Nothobranchius furzeri: one gene and its partners. The protein of the gene in region 1 purifies or fractionates together with the protein of each later gene. This does not show direct contact. Links are inferred from orthologs where the notes say so. Each region holds a gene or a part of one and is shown on either strand. Other genes may lie near its edges.

Evidence for each region. The genes of interacting proteins can lie anywhere in the genome.
Region 2: the proteins of smarcc1a (region 1) and bcl7a purify together in Homo sapiens (affinity purification with mass spectrometry; 4 studies listed by BioGRID and IntAct, counting the BioPlex papers as one, with this or other methods). This does not show direct contact. The link is inferred for Nothobranchius furzeri from reciprocal best matches to the Homo sapiens genes SMARCC1 and BCL7A.
Region 3: the proteins of smarcc1a (region 1) and ss18 purify together in Homo sapiens (affinity purification with mass spectrometry; 4 studies listed by BioGRID and IntAct, counting the BioPlex papers as one, with this or other methods). This does not show direct contact. The link is inferred for Nothobranchius furzeri from reciprocal best matches to the Homo sapiens genes SMARCC1 and SS18.

The regions. Positions count from the first base shown.
Region 1 is NC_091745.1:65,005,178-65,010,978, reverse strand, and holds the start of smarcc1a (SWI/SNF complex subunit SMARCC1), read right to left. Parts: upstream 3,322-5,801; 5' UTR 3,252-3,321; coding exon 3,066-3,251; intron 1,924-3,065; coding exon 1,804-1,923; intron 1,724-1,803; coding exon 1,638-1,723; intron 1,399-1,637; coding exon 1,317-1,398; intron 1,218-1,316; coding exon 1,125-1,217; intron 1,013-1,124; coding exon 943-1,012; intron 682-942; coding exon 612-681; intron 389-611; coding exon 313-388; intron 1-312. Other genes in the region: uncharacterized protein si:ch211-215k15.4, read left to right, coding at 4,079-4,197, 4,432-4,502, 5,504-5,792. UniProt on the Homo sapiens protein: Involved in transcriptional activation and repression of select genes by chromatin remodeling (alteration of DNA-nucleosome topology).
Region 2 is NC_091746.1:40,396,656-40,400,635, forward strand, and holds the end of bcl7a (B-cell CLL/lymphoma 7 protein family member A), read left to right. Parts: intron 1-947; coding exon 948-1,051; intron 1,052-2,233; coding exon 2,234-2,308; 3' UTR 2,309-2,456; downstream 2,457-3,980.
Region 3 is NC_091751.1:52,441,868-52,447,093, reverse strand, and holds part of ss18 (protein SSXT), read right to left. Parts: intron 4,556-5,226; coding exon 4,385-4,555; intron 4,089-4,384; coding exon 4,011-4,088; intron 2,075-4,010; coding exon 1,952-2,074; intron 1-1,951. UniProt on the Homo sapiens protein: Appears to function synergistically with RBM14 as a transcriptional coactivator. Isoform 1 and isoform 2 function in nuclear receptor coactivation. Isoform 1 and isoform 2 function in general transcriptional coactivation.

The DNA of each region.
Region 1 (5,801 bases):
AGGGTGGTGGTTAAAAAAACAATAACTCAGTGTTTACTGCTGTGAAGCATCACAGGAGAAAAGCTTCACGGACACCAAAAATGATTAAATCAATTTACAATACAAATAGGATGCAGTCATTAAATTATTGAAAATAATTAATTCTAAAAAGTTATGTTTTCCACACATCAGAAGGGTTAATACCAATATCTAGATTTACATGTTTTTTCCAGAAAAAAAAGTTTTCTGAGCAGCCAGGCTAGTTTTACGCTTGTGTGTCTATTTATGAAATCTTCAGTGCTAAACAGATCATTTTGGTAGAGGGTGCTCCACCTTCCAGGGTCGGTCAGCACTGGGAGGGTCTTCAACGTCTCCGTCCACCTCACCAGCTGCCACCCAGGTGTCGTAGCTGGTAAAATACATAACAGACACAGGATCAGTAAGGTGGTTAATCTGGGTGATTTCAAAACAAAAAACTTGGCAAAAATGTCTCTGACATTAGATTTAGTGTTTTTTAAATTACTAATAAAAATAGAAACTGAATAACTTTAGAGAAATACTCCTGCAGAGTAAAAACATATCCACAATAAAGAAAAGCATGTCCGAGTCTCTCTGTGATCCTTTCTGATTACCTGTCAGGGGAAAAGCCCCAGTGAACAAGCACCTGCTTGTCTTTCCTCATCACAGGACGTAGCCACTCTTCTGAAAAACACAACCCCCAGCACAACTTCAGCAATTAGCGAAGATTTTATCCGTGCTGTGACAAAAAATTCCCATTTTCAAGAAGATCAGCTAAATAAAGCCTCCATAAACGGAGCTAAATGATCTTTATTCTGATCTAGATGTGTTTGATGGGATAGAGATCACACTATAAATGAGTCAGATCAGCAAGGAACAATAACACCCAAGTTCAAACATACATCATAAAATGTATGCACAAAGTCACAAAAGTTATAAACCAACCTTCTTCCTGCTGCTGAAGAGAAGGATAAATGTGGTGGGTGGCCTTTGACTTATCCTCGGTGGTGGAGCCCTGAAGAGAAACAAAGTTAGATAATTGAAAAGACAAAGACGTTCATGCTAGTCATAATAAAAATACATAAAAAAATAAACTGTTTTTATTTCCTGGTTTGAAGTGAACTCACCTGGTGCCTTTTGACGATGTCTTTGAGCTTACTCGCTTGTTTTTGCTCTATTTCCGAAGACAGGTAGACCAGAGGTCGCGTCAAGCAGTTATTCTACAAAAACACAAACCATCGATAAAACCAGACGTTACCCATGCAGAGGTCAAATATATAGAAGACAAAAAGTCTGTGTTCAGACTGGGATGCTCATACCTGAACCAGGTTCTTCTCAACATTTAAGAACATCTCCACATTTCTGTCCATCCTTGAGGGATTCTGCAAATCAAATCTTCGCCTAAGAGTAGAGTTCATAAAGCAAAACCAAATTAGTTTTAAGACGAACACACAACTGACTAAAAGTTGAATATCCTTTTGATTTCATGCAGTATGAATTTTGTCACATTTTACAAGATGTTCAGTTCGTGGTACTGGTGTAACCAAAGAGTTAAATTCTGCTAAACCACTGGTTCAAAACAATCAAAGAGGTTAAGTTTGGGTCATACCAGTTTTGAAGTTAAAAATAAATCCACTCACCAGCCCTGTTCACTTTTAAACTTATAAACCGAGCCCAAGATGTGACAGAGAGCCCCTCCAGCCTTAAAGTCCAGGAAACACTTGGCCTGAAGAGAGAAGATAAACAAAGAGATTCAAGACACAGACATTATGATAGCTTTTGGTTCTGCAAAGAAGGTGTGCTTACAGGTAGCTTGGTAAGAGCTGGATTGTTGACCCTCCGTCCAAATGCATCCTCTTGGAACTGCAGCAGCTGCACCACCAAGCCTCCCAGTGATTTGCTGGAGGGGGAGTCATTCTGAACATACTGAAAAAAAAACCATAATCATTGAATCATTTACATGCATCACTGACAAAGAAACAGGAAAGCATCTGAAAATGAACACATATATATTACAAGCAGCTACAAAACTTTGGTGACACACAGAAGTCTGCACAGTAACAAATACATGCATGGTCATGGGAATAGGTCTAATTTCGCAATATCTGATATTTTAAACACTATTAACCACAACCTTGCTGCTCATTTAACAAATAAATCTTCAGCTGGGCGACTTGTTGTTGTTTTAACTTTACTAAGTCCTATAAATAATGTGTTCTGGTGTGACATGAAAATATTTACATGCAATCACAGAAATCCTTATTAATCTAAGTACCTACGTTTTTTAAGTCAAAGACACGGTAAGAAAAACATGATTCCAACACAAAAACTGCAAACAAGCAAACTTAAAACAGAATCTAGACTCCATCAAGTTTGCTGTTCAGTTGAACTTTTGCGTTGTTTTTAAATGCGCCTCCATGGGCGTGATGGTGGGTTTGAATAGATACACTCTTTGTTTTGCTGGGCGAGAGAAGCCAGAGGCTGTCTGCCTGATGAGTGTGTTGACAAAACAACACAATGAGGACTCTTTTACACAAAATGCAACAAACACAATTATCTTGTGACTTTCTGAGACCTAAATATAACGTAAAACAGAATGAATGGTGTGTTATGTTTATGTGAATCGTACACACACGGTGCACCGTGACATTTTCGTTAGTTTCTTAGGCCTTTACACCGAATGAGTGGGTCGTATATATTTTTAGCACACAACATAATTTCACATGTGCGTTTTTACTACAATAACGTATCAACAGTTCGACATTCAGTACCTTATTAGAACTAATTTGTTGTGTTTAGCTGACTGAGCGGCTAGCGAGCTAGCTGATGGCAGGCTAACAGAAAAGCAACTTCACTCCAGCTATCATAGTACGTTTGCATTTAATCGTGTCTAAAAGGAGACTGTCTGCACTCTCTTGAGCGAGATTATAAACATGAGTCAACCAGAACAACTACAGCTAAAGTTAGCTTAGTGTACATGAAGGTTATAAACATATCAGCGCTCTATTGTGCCAGCGAGACGCGGGCCTTTATAGAAATCAATGAGGAACACAGCAGCGTTAACCCACCTTCTTGTAGTGCTTCCCGATCCAAAGCCGCACCGTCTCGAGCTGGGACACCGTCTCGGAACTTTCCCAAAATTTCGTGGAAGGACCGCCGTCTTTCTTTCGTCCTACCGCGGTTCCTCCACCGACCAGGCCTGTGGCTGGTCCGCTTGAACCCGTTCCGCCCGCAGAAGTCGCCGCCGTCGCCATTGTGTGTAGCTCACTGCGTTGTCTTTCTCCTCAACGGCATCCCTCGCCGTGCAAGTTTTCAAATGATACTGCGCAGCCGCAAAGTGATCACGAGGTTTATGTGACGCTCATGGGAAATGTAGGCGTACCCCCCCCCCCCCCAGATTCACGTGGCAGGGTTATAGGAATTAACACAAAAAGTAAGGAGCTGATTAGACAAATCTGCCATGTCTGCAGGCTTCTTATCTACTTTTAAACACTATATTCCTTTTATTTTTACTTAATAGAGTATTTACTTAATGACATTAATGGAGCTCTACAGACAAAAGAACATTTTATGGTATTATTGTGAAACTTCAGTTATGTCGTCAACATGTTGCCACCAGATGGCAGCAATACACTTCTCAGTATGTTTCCTTCTGTTGGGCTTTATGTGCACATCATGTTTTGCTTGAATATTTGGTTGGGTGTTATTTTGAATGACTGGGTAAAGAAACAGAATCCCATCACAATCTTCTATTTTACTCTTCATTTTAATAACTAAAATAGGACATTCAGTAGCATGGATAAAAGGTAAGATAATCTTGCTAAAGTGACATGGGTATGTTCAAGCCAAGCCTAATTAAGAAATGTATTTTATACAAATCTATTTTTTATATTACAGAAGGAAACCATGACGTAATAAGTTTGTTCTCTGAGGTTCAATGGCCATAAACAACATGTGGTGCATCATCGCCACCTATAGGTCTGGAGTGTGGACCGGCACTCCTCTCCTGTCTCCCCCGAAGTCAGTAATAAACTGATTGGAATCCCAGTGGCACCTGCTGGTGCTCCACCCCCTCTGATTGATGGAGGAGCAGATAAAGGTGTGTGTGGCATGGTCCATAATAGTTGTTAGAGCTCTGATTGTTGCATGGTCCATAATAGTTGTTAGAGCTCTGATTGTTCTTCTGCTGTCGAGAGTGTGGTAAGAGATCACTTATTTGGTCATGGCTTCCGAAAGTTTTTCTGTATTTCCTGTCAGTGTTATTTCTCACTCCCACGTTTCCCTTATATAAAAGATTGCTTCCTCCTCTTTTTGTAGTTCATTTATTTTCTCACTAAAGTGCTAAGCACGTTTATAGGTCATAATTCTAGCAATTTGCTTTGAACTCTCTTTAACCTTGCAAACTTATTTTTTTACCTTGTATGTTTTAACCAGCATCATGGGATCCACTGTAATGTTGCAGTTGCTGCTGCTCTGCTTTCCATTGTGCTCTGCTTATGCATATGGTAAGGCTGATTTCAATATTTCATTGCTAGTGACACTTTGACAGTAATGCGCTTTAGATGGGATGTCGTTAAATATCTAAAGAGGTTTGCACAAGATGACTTGTTTTAGTTCCTTCATATCCTATAGAGCAGAGGTTTCCAAATTGGGATATGGGGTCCCTACAATTTTGTCTTTGCTGAGCTTGTGAGATTAGCAAGAATTATAAAAATTACATTTATAAACTCCAAATAACACACCCTACAGTAAAATCAAAACTCCATATATAATTTATAACTCTATGCTGGTAAAAGATGGTAAGTGATTACATTTAATGTGTGTACGCATGTAGGAGTTGGGGGTCCTGACTTGTCTTGGACATGCACAAGGGGGTCCTGGGGAAAAAAGAAATTGGGAAGTCCTGCTTTAGAGTGGGGTATTCAATTCTGGTCCTGGAGGTCCACTATCCAGCACATTTAGTAGTTTCTCTTATTCAACACACTTGACTCACCTGTGCAATAGCTCATCAGGCTCTGCAGAAGCCTGTCAATCACCTGCTGATTGAAATCAGGTGTGCTGAAACGGGGCTAAAATAAAACTTGCAAGATACTGGACCTCCAGGCCTGGAATCAAATACCCCTACTATAGAATAAATGCTCTTCCCCTTCCAGTTGGCTGAGGGGTCTCTGTGTAAAAGTAGATGGGGCTAAGTTGTATTTTGGTCTGCTTAAAATTGAATGTCCTCATAAGATGACCAATTAGCCGATTGGAAGAGCTCCCTGTTCCTGCTTTATTCTATTCTGTTATGGGGAGGTGGTGCCTCTACCAGCAATCATTGGGTCAATGATCAGGCTCACAGTACACGTTTGTCCATCCCAGGACTACAGAAAAGCAAATGGTGCCAAGTAAACAGCTTTTCAGCGTAAGATCTGAGATGTTCCCTGTAAACTAGTTTAAATGCATTTGAAGATTTAAAGATTTGTATAAAAGATTAGGCTTGTTTTTCTTCTCTCCCTTTTATTAGAAAATGTGGCTCTGCGTGGCACTGCAACACAATCTACACGCTTGCTGGGAAATACCAATGTTTTGGGAATTGCCATCAATGCCATTGATGGGAATCGGAATTCCCAGATGATGGCTGGATCATGTACCCACACGGCACAACAAGCCGATCCCTGGTGGAGAGTGGATCTCCTGGAGTCTTACATAATCGACCACATCAACATCGTAAACAGAGGAGACTGTTGTGCAGAGCGGATCAATGGGGCACAAATTCACATTGGTGACTCTGCAGATTGGAGTGCAAACCCACAGTGAGTAAC
Region 2 (3,980 bases), on another chromosome or scaffold:
ATGGTGGTTCTTTCCTCCTGTGGGAATTTTGCTGAACTTACAGCCCTTTTCCCTCAGTTTTCTCCATGTCTGGTTCGATGATGTCACTTTTGTGAAGTGCATTTGTAGTCCTGGACTTATTTTCACACCAAATCTAAAATAGCATTTCTCCCTGTTCAAAAATAAGCGCGTTTTTGGTATCAGAATGTGTCTTTAAAATTCACAGACATCATATGTGAAATCCATGGCACAAAACAAGTAGATTAGAAAATAGCGTTTTTAGCCCCATTGACTTGCATTCGTTTTTTTGTTCTTCCGGGGACCCATGATCCAGAAGTAGATAGGCGTGACTTAGGCTCCCTATGAAGGGAGACAAACACCAGAAGTGAAACAAGGCTTTAGGGACCGTCTGGCTGTGAAAGTTAATACCACCTTTAGTGTAGTCTGTGTTTCCACTTTAATAGGAAACGTAAAGTTTACATAAAGTTTGGTCATTTCTTTGTCATTATTTATTGACAGTTTCAAAGCACTTATCTGGCTTGTAACATGGCTTGTTTGACTAGGATTTAGTTTATATGTAGTTTTACAGAGTTTTGATGCTTATGTTTACGATTCATAAATCCTGGAAGTTCCAACTGGTCCCAATTTTACTGAACATAGATCTGTAGCGTGCTGTCAAACAGAATGATGTCTGAGCAGATGTTTGTATGCTTTCTTAAACAAAGAGGACAGATTTCTACAGCCTGGTTTTTAATATGTGGTACCTGGCAGGCTCTGTAAGAATCTGATTTTGGTTGTATGGCAACATTTATTACATTTAATTAGATTTTCTTAATTTTTGTACATGGAAAAAGACCAGTCATATTGTGGCTCCGTTAATCCAACTGTGCAGTTACTCCACACAACCACACAGTGCCACTAGAGAGCCTAAATGAGTCAGACTGATTTGTTGCTGTGTTAAATTCCAGGTAAGAACATTTCTTTATCAGAGACCTCAGAGAGGGCACCAAGCACCAAGAGAGACAGCATGTCCTCAGGAGAGAAGGATTCTTCTAACAGCAAAGCCACTCAGGTACAAACACGTCTGTGACCACCTGAGAGGAGCAGGGACCATGTGGGCGGGGCCAGTTTCATCTGTTTAACTCTGCTTTCTAGGAACAAGGGATGGGGGTAAATGACAAATATGAGTAGTAAATTCACTTGTGTGTAAAACGTGTCTTTAGAAAGAGTAGGATAAACTTGATACAACCATCGCTTCCATCTTGCCCTACTCCACATCCTCATCCAGAGTTGAGATGCGATTCTCAGCAGAACTGAACTGAAATTTTTATAGAGACGCACCAAAGACATATAGTCCTCGAGGCATTTACAATGTGACATTGATGCTCGTCCCTTTTGACAGATTCCTGCTGTGTGTGTAATATTACTGAACCTAATTAATTCAGTCCAATGATAGACCGTCTCTAACAGCGCTGCTGACATCTAACGAGCAAAAGAATGGCACGAACAGCAGAAATAAAGGTTGATTGGGTCATCAGCTACACTTCTGTACTGAGCCTATTTAAAAACTGCATCCTCCATTTAAAACTTTCATAAACTCGTAAAAAGCAAACTTTGACCATTTGTCTTTTGAGAATATTTTTGTGAATTATCTTATCTATTAGTATTTGGGGCTCTTAAGGTTAACATGCATTAATAAATTCTAATGGTCAGTAACGCGTCGATCAAAATAAAACAAAAACATCTGTGATGCTAGCGATGTGAGTCAAAGTAAACTGGACATGTTTTTTTTTACTGTTTCTTTTCTCACCTGAGGAGTACATTTTGAATTGAGACCGACTGACAGAACAAATTCTTTCTTTGGCAGCTAACGAGTCGGGCAGCTCACTCTGTCCTTATAGGACTCATTTGTTTAGTTTTCTGGGTTACCACCGAGATGAGAACAGGAATGGACAGTGAAGTGATTTGGGGATGGGAGAGAAGTCTTGTTTTAGCAGATCTTTGCACATTTTAAAAACACGTTCATCAGTGTTAACATTCTCAGCAGCATAACTGATATTTCTGCACACATGTAAAGTACATTTACATGTTTTTGGAGCTTACCGGACTCCAGCAGCTGTGTGTTTAGCACACAGATTAAATTAAATGGAGTTACTCATCTTGATTCCACCATGCAGCCGCTTAAAGAGAAGGATGTTTTAGTTATGGATTCTGGTGAAAATCTCACACTTTGTTTCTCTTGTCTGGCTCCTAGGACCTACAGGAGGAGGCCCCGCCCAGTAAGAAAAGCAAACTGGAGTCCTCATCTCAGGACTTTGAGGAGAGCTAAAGATTTTGGGCTGAGTCATTTCTCTCCTCATCCTCCTGTGTCCCTCTCTCTGTACCTCCTTCCATTAACTCTAGGTGATTTAGGGCTAATGGACACACCGGCTCTCCTCACTCCCTTTTTATTATTATTTTTTATTCTTCTGCCAATTTTTCTCTTCCCAAACTCACAAGACCAACGAGAGAATGGCCGTCTCTCTCCCTGTACTCTCCCCCGCCACCGAGGGAGGATGGATATTACCTCTGTTCACTGCTCCCCCTCCGTGCTTCCTTACAGTCCTCCACATTACTTTGCCAAGAGAAATGCCGACCCCAGGCTGCGGTCCCCTTTGTGACCACAGGAGGCGCTGTCAACTCAGCACTGACCTGCTTCTGTGAGTGAAAACAGTGGGTCTGGGATTAGGACGAGGTCGATCGCGAACGCTGCTCTGAGACTGCTCTTTAATTGTTTTACTGCTAGTGGTTTAGCTCAGGATAACTGGTGGGGCTAACCTGGTCTCAGATCAGCAGCTGCGGGGGGGGGGGACCTCCACCCTAAGGCCCAGTCACTTCAATCCTCCCCATCTGCCTCCTGTTAGACTAATGTTCTCTGTTTGTTTAGGAAATGTTTTTTTTATTTTTATTTTTTCCTCAGGAGGGTCAATGCACTGTTATGGTATGTCACAATCGATCACAGAGATAGATTTGCTGCTGTAGTGGATGTCTTTTTTCTCAATTCATAAAGGTTCTCCATTCATGTGTTTCTAAAGTGAATTAGCTTGTGGTCCATAGAAGAAGGCGACGGTACATGTGCAGATAAATGTAGCGAGGATGGGCGTGGCTAGCAGGTGTCCTGGAGGTGTGCCTTTGTGTTACCATTGATACAAGTTTAGTTCAAGCAGGTTTGGACTTAATGTTTTGGTGCCATGTTTTTTTTTTTTTTTTGCCTTAGAGTTGTCACTAATGGGTTTTCTCTGATGTTTATACTCAGCTACAACCGTTTGGATTTCTGTTTTATAAAAATGTGCTTTCTTGCTGACTGTAGATAAAGAAGTCTGATACCACTGTTACATCAAATCTGATTATAGTGTTAGCTTAGCATTATGCTAAAAAGAGAGAAAGACCACTAGCCTGAAAACGGTCTCCTCCTGAATTTGCTCACATGGACCAGAAGTTCTAAACTATCATTTTTCTACAGAAGCTCTGAAAAGCAAAAAAAAAAAGGGGGAAACAAGATTTTTTTTGTCATGAATTTTTATATTTTACCAAATGAGGACATAAACATCCACACACTTGTTTCTTTTGAAAAGTGTTTTCACATCCTTTTACATCATGCAATCAAGAGGAATCATGGACCCTTTGCCTTTTAGAGCTTCTGTAGTTAGTGGGTATGGTGTGACCAAAAACAAAATAGGACACAAAGTGGATGATATGGGCCATTCCCATCTGTACCGGGTCGGCCCGGGCCGGTAGCCCCAGTCGGCCCCAGTCTGGCCCGGTTGATTCCACACATCCTTGCCTTAAGCCCATGTGGGCTGATTCTACCCACCAATCAGAGGCTTGCTCTAATGGAAGGTGTGAATTTGCTGTCAGCAGTGGGCGTGTTGGCCCTGGTCGGCCTGAAGCAGACTCCCTCGAGAAGAGGGCTGAGAATGAGCCTTGGTTGGCCCGGAAAAACACCAGGCCACCCAGATATG
Region 3 (5,226 bases), on another chromosome or scaffold:
TGCTGGCTCAGATTAACGAACGCACTTTGTGCTGAGGTTTCTGGAATCAGCGCTGCTTTCAAACATGAACGTGAGTCCGCTCGGTGTCTTTAAGCAGCTGATAATAACCGGGCTGACTCCGACACGTGCCGGTGAACCAACCCACCGTTAGCCCCAGGCTCCGGTTAGTTTCCAGCTAAAAGGCTACAGCACTCTCCTCCCAGTCCCACCCTGAGCTGCTAAAGAGAGCCTGGAAAAGTTCCCCCACACATCAAAGTGATTTTTCTTTATGAGCTTTCATAACCTTGTTAATCAGGATAGTTGATTTGCTGCTGCACATAAACTGTCAGTCAGAAGCTCTGCTAGCCAATGTTCTTAGAAGAGCTAGTTCAATTTGTTAGCTTGTTACCAGAATCAAAGCTGCAGTTTCATCATCTGAGCTGCTTTTTAAGATCTAGGTAAACTTGTTCAATTTGGGGTTAAAAACAAACGTTTTCACATATTTTCCATGTAGTTTTTTGCCAGTTCCTCTTCTGAAAGGTAGACAATTGTTTTTCTCTTTCCCTCAGAAAATCTTAATTTTCTCCTAGTTTGGCCCAGCACAGATCACTTCCCAATTACAGCAATAGCCTTGTATCATAACCACATAAGTGGATAAAATGCTCAGTAGCAATGAGAGAATTTGCTGTTGCATTTAAGTGATGTTAACTATTATTTAACATTTAAACTTATTTTCTGATTTTTTTATTTATTCAGAAAACCCTGGTAAGGGATGTTTTTCTGTATTTGGAGCATCAGAAAAAGTTTTATGGTGGTGGTGATGTTTTAAAGTCACTGAGAAACTGCATGCATGCAGTTTGTTGTTTTGCTGCTAATACAGTAGCAGTTGCAGCTGCATATTTTTGCAATAAAAATGTTATGTTGTAATGGAATTCATGCATTAGTTTTTGTTTGCTTTGAACCCAGAGCAGACGTCACACGCCAGACGACATCAACACTGCATACTTTAGTATTTGTTCATTTATCGTGAGTAATATCGATATCGCAATATTAAGCACTGTTATCGAATATTGCAGGTTTTCCTAATATCGTGCAGCCCTAACTCAATCCTTCAACAAGCTTGACAACATAGATCATGATTGCCCTCCATCGAACCTGTGTGCTTACAGCTCATTATAGCATCCACTTCTAGACGTTTATTTGAGAAACTTTGGGAGGTTTCTGTTATAGTGGACTGTAATAAAATCTGCTGGATGATGGCTCCCAAACTCAAGGAGACATGGAATTTCAGTTTGTCTTCATTAAAGAAGCAAGCATCATTAAAACTAAAAAGAAAAAAATATACATATAGATATTTATATATCTCATCAACCTCTGTTCAGGACTGCCATCTTTCCAGCCGTTGTGAAGGACTGAGGGTTGAAGTCAAATGAGGCCCACGCAGCATCGTTAGGCGCTTGTAATGCCTTGTGCTGCTGTGCATAACCTTGTGGGGGCCTCGGAGAACAGGCATGTGTATGTGCCAGATGGATCTCACCTCAGCCTCTGCTAGCTCATTACTAACATGAGCTCTGGCTCAGATAGCAGCGAGTGATGGGAAATAACAGAAGAAAGATCTTTGAACTTCTATTCTACAAATTCTTCAATGCGTGTATTTATTACCGCTACGTTGAGGTTTGGCTCGGTTTTATCATGGAGTCTAACCACAAGCCAGGGGTTGGGCATATACAACACATGAGCTGTAGAGGAAATGAGTACTTAATAATGTATGAACAGATAACTTTTGCAATGAGAAGAGGAAGCTAATAAGACAGGACTGCAGCTTACTAAGGCAGTCCTTTTATGTTTTGCTCCAGATGATGGTGACATAGCAACTAGCACCTCACTCAAATTAAATCATTCAAGTTAGACGAAGTCCGCCAAGAGAGCCAATGGTGCCTCCTACAGGACAAACGAGTTCCCCAAAACTCACCATAGCCTTGTTGCTGCGGTGGGTAGCCCTGTTGACCCGGGTACTGCTGCTGTGGCGGATAGCCCTGCTGCTGAGGCGGGCCTTGCTGGTACGGTTCCTGTTGTTGGCCATACTGCGCATTACCTTCGAACAGCATCAGCAGGCATTGTTAAAACACACCAAGATTCAAACAAACAAAACCAATGCTAGATGTAAAGTAACTGAGCTCATTTTCATTTTAAAATGTGCAGAAAGTCACAGAATATTTTAAATAAAACCATAAAACTACGGTCTGAAATTCTAAACTAATTCTCTCACTAAAACAGACAGAAACGGATCAGCACTTTTCTAAGTCTAGACATAATTACTTTAGTTTATTTTGAGTTAAAAGTGAACAAACATGACTTGGTGGCAGATTGTACACACCCACACTTTAGATATTTGTTTTCTTGTTAGAAAAAATAAGCTCCATGTTTGAAAGTTCATAGGGAGGAAAAGGGTTATTAGAAGAAAAACAAAACCACAAAAGTAAATGTTAACAAGACAAAGAGGAAGAGTTTTGTACTTTTACCAAGTCAGTGAATTGAACAGATCAAACTGCAAATGTTTTAGCGTCACGAGACATCTACTGTAACCGTCTCATGACACTGTAACAAGACAGTTACGCTAGATGGTAGTTTGTGCTGCTTTTTCAATATTTGTCAGTAAACCTGGACTTATAATTGCTTACAGAAAATGAACATGCAGACTGTATTGCAAAAACTGAAAAAATTAACAAAGTAGCATGTAAAATAAGTATGAGCCATCTAGAGCCTAAAATCCCCAGAATGCATTGCAGAAACTGAAATGTTTTGCTTTGTCGAAGCTAGGGTTGTCATGGTGTGAAAATTTAACCTCACGGTTATTGTGACCAAAATTACCATGGTTTTCGGTATTATCGCGGTATTTTTTTTTAAACGTGCTACATTTTCACACAATTTAATAAACCCTGTATATCAGGAGATATTGTCCTCAGTTTGTCTAAATTTTGCTTAAAATGTGTTATTTTGTAATTATGTTGTTTATTTGTTTACATATTTCCCCTTTAGTCTTTAAAATACCAATATTTGCCCATATCTTCTTATTTTGTCTGTTTGATGTCATCATTTTAAAAATATTAGATCAGATGATACTCAGTACTCAAGTAGCCTTCTAATCAGATACTTTTTTACCCTTACTTGAGTAATAAACCGTATATCAGGAAAATATTGTCCTCGGTTTGTGTCCTTCCAGTGAGCTTTGCAGATGTGGGAAAATGTCATCAGGCAGTAATCATTGTTAAATTCTTAATTATTCTCGGAGAGAGACCAACTCTTATCTGCCCCTGGGAGCCCTGTAATGCATAGCGTCATTTCAACATGGGGTGTCCGTGACACGGTTTATATGCAGGTAGCGGCGCTGCGGCTGCTTTGTATAGCGACTCGTTGCATTCTCCCTCAACCCAAATCCTCGGATCACGCATTCTAGCTAAAACGCTAACGTTAGCTTGCCTTGCGTTGACTGTAGAGTTGCGGGAGATGGTCACGCAGATGTGTCATGAGATTTGAAGCGTTGCTGCCTTTCACAGACACTTTTTCTGCACGTGCTGCAAACAGGATAGCCGTCTTCTATCAACTGTCCCTCGGCATTCTTCAAATATCCAAAAGATGCCCGTACTTCCCACTTTGTCTTCTTTGAGGGATAAAAAATGTCCTCCTGAGCGCTGCCGTCTCCTCCTTTGACCATTATTTCAGCTTTAGCTTCAAGAAAGTTTTGGTTGTAAACAACAAAGCGCGCATGTGCCGCCAGCAACTTCAGCAGATGATACGGTGGCTGGTAAGGGTCACCGCGCCTACACCACAGCCACGGTAATCCACCGAGATAATATCGTTTTTTTTTTAAAAACAAGACGGTTATTATTATTGTCAACTTTTTACCAGGGTTTACCGCTACACCGGTTACCGTGACAACCCTAGTCGAAGCATCGTTTTTGTGTTTTGACTCAACTCCTGGGTTGACTGATTGTCTGTGTTCTCCCAAGTGACTTGCAGGGTTCTCCTACCTTCTGAGGCGCCCTGTCCTGCGTGACTGTACTGGTCGCCATAGTAGTCTTCCTGCCCTGGATACTGCTGGGGGGGTCCTACATACAACATACACACATGTAGATTCAAGGTGCTGTTGCTGTGTAAGGGGGGAGGAGAGGGTAGAGGGGATAGACTCCTTGCTTCTAGTTCATCTTAAAGGAGCTTTCCCTTTGTCACAACTAATTTTACACGGGATTTTGGATTAAACCGTTACTGAACAAGTTGTCTGCAGTCTACAGAAGATGAAATAGAAACAGACTGGGAGGAACAAGAGTGAGAAACACAGGAGGGAAAAGGAGAAGGAAGACCGACACTCTGCTTGGATGTGGAACTGACACACTGAGTGGTTTACCTTGCTGTGGAGGTCTGTAGGGCGGCATTGGCCTCTGCCCCATGACGTGGTTCCCTTGGTTGACCTGACCCATCATACCCATTGGGGTCTGTTGGCCTTGGTAGTGCTGTCCACCACCACCAGGGGGCATGTTGTACTGCTGCGATGGAGGCTGCTGATGCATCACCGGACCTGTCGAACACAACCATGCCCCACAGTGACTTAAACGTGTTGAACTCTTGTTCAATACATTTGCAGTGGTCTCTACTAGGAATGAATGTCTTAAGTAAGTCATACTCTGGGAGTGGGAGGAGGACCCAGATGCGTCTGAACCAGGAAGCTGGAGGAGAAAGTAGCTTCAGATGGCAGGTTTTGGAGACTTATTTCCTGATTTTTGGACATCTCGTTTCTACTTGGTTAACAGCAAAGCAATTCTAACACTGACTCAGTTTGCTCTGCAACTTTTATGTTTCATCTCCACAAATAACAAATGCCTAGAGTAGTTCTGCCATGTGGCAGAGTTGCTAATGCTAATGGTTAGCTTCTACCAGTCGAGATGTTCTCTGCCGTTTCTTAAACGCCAAACCTAACCAACAACGGCCTTCCTCGTCACAAGCCAAGATGAGAGAGTCCATGAATGTTAAGTGGCAGTGTGATGTAGATCTGTCAGGCTTTTCAAATCCTAGAGTTTCACCGTCTATTTTCTATCATAAGTTAGTCCAGGAGATAGGTGTAGGTGACAGACTCAGAGTGACCGATTATAATCCGAAATAATAATTTAAAATGGTTTTTATCAGTGTTTAATAAATTCCTTTCATTGTAAATCTAACCAGTAATTGACTATAAAAAATGGGAATGCCTCG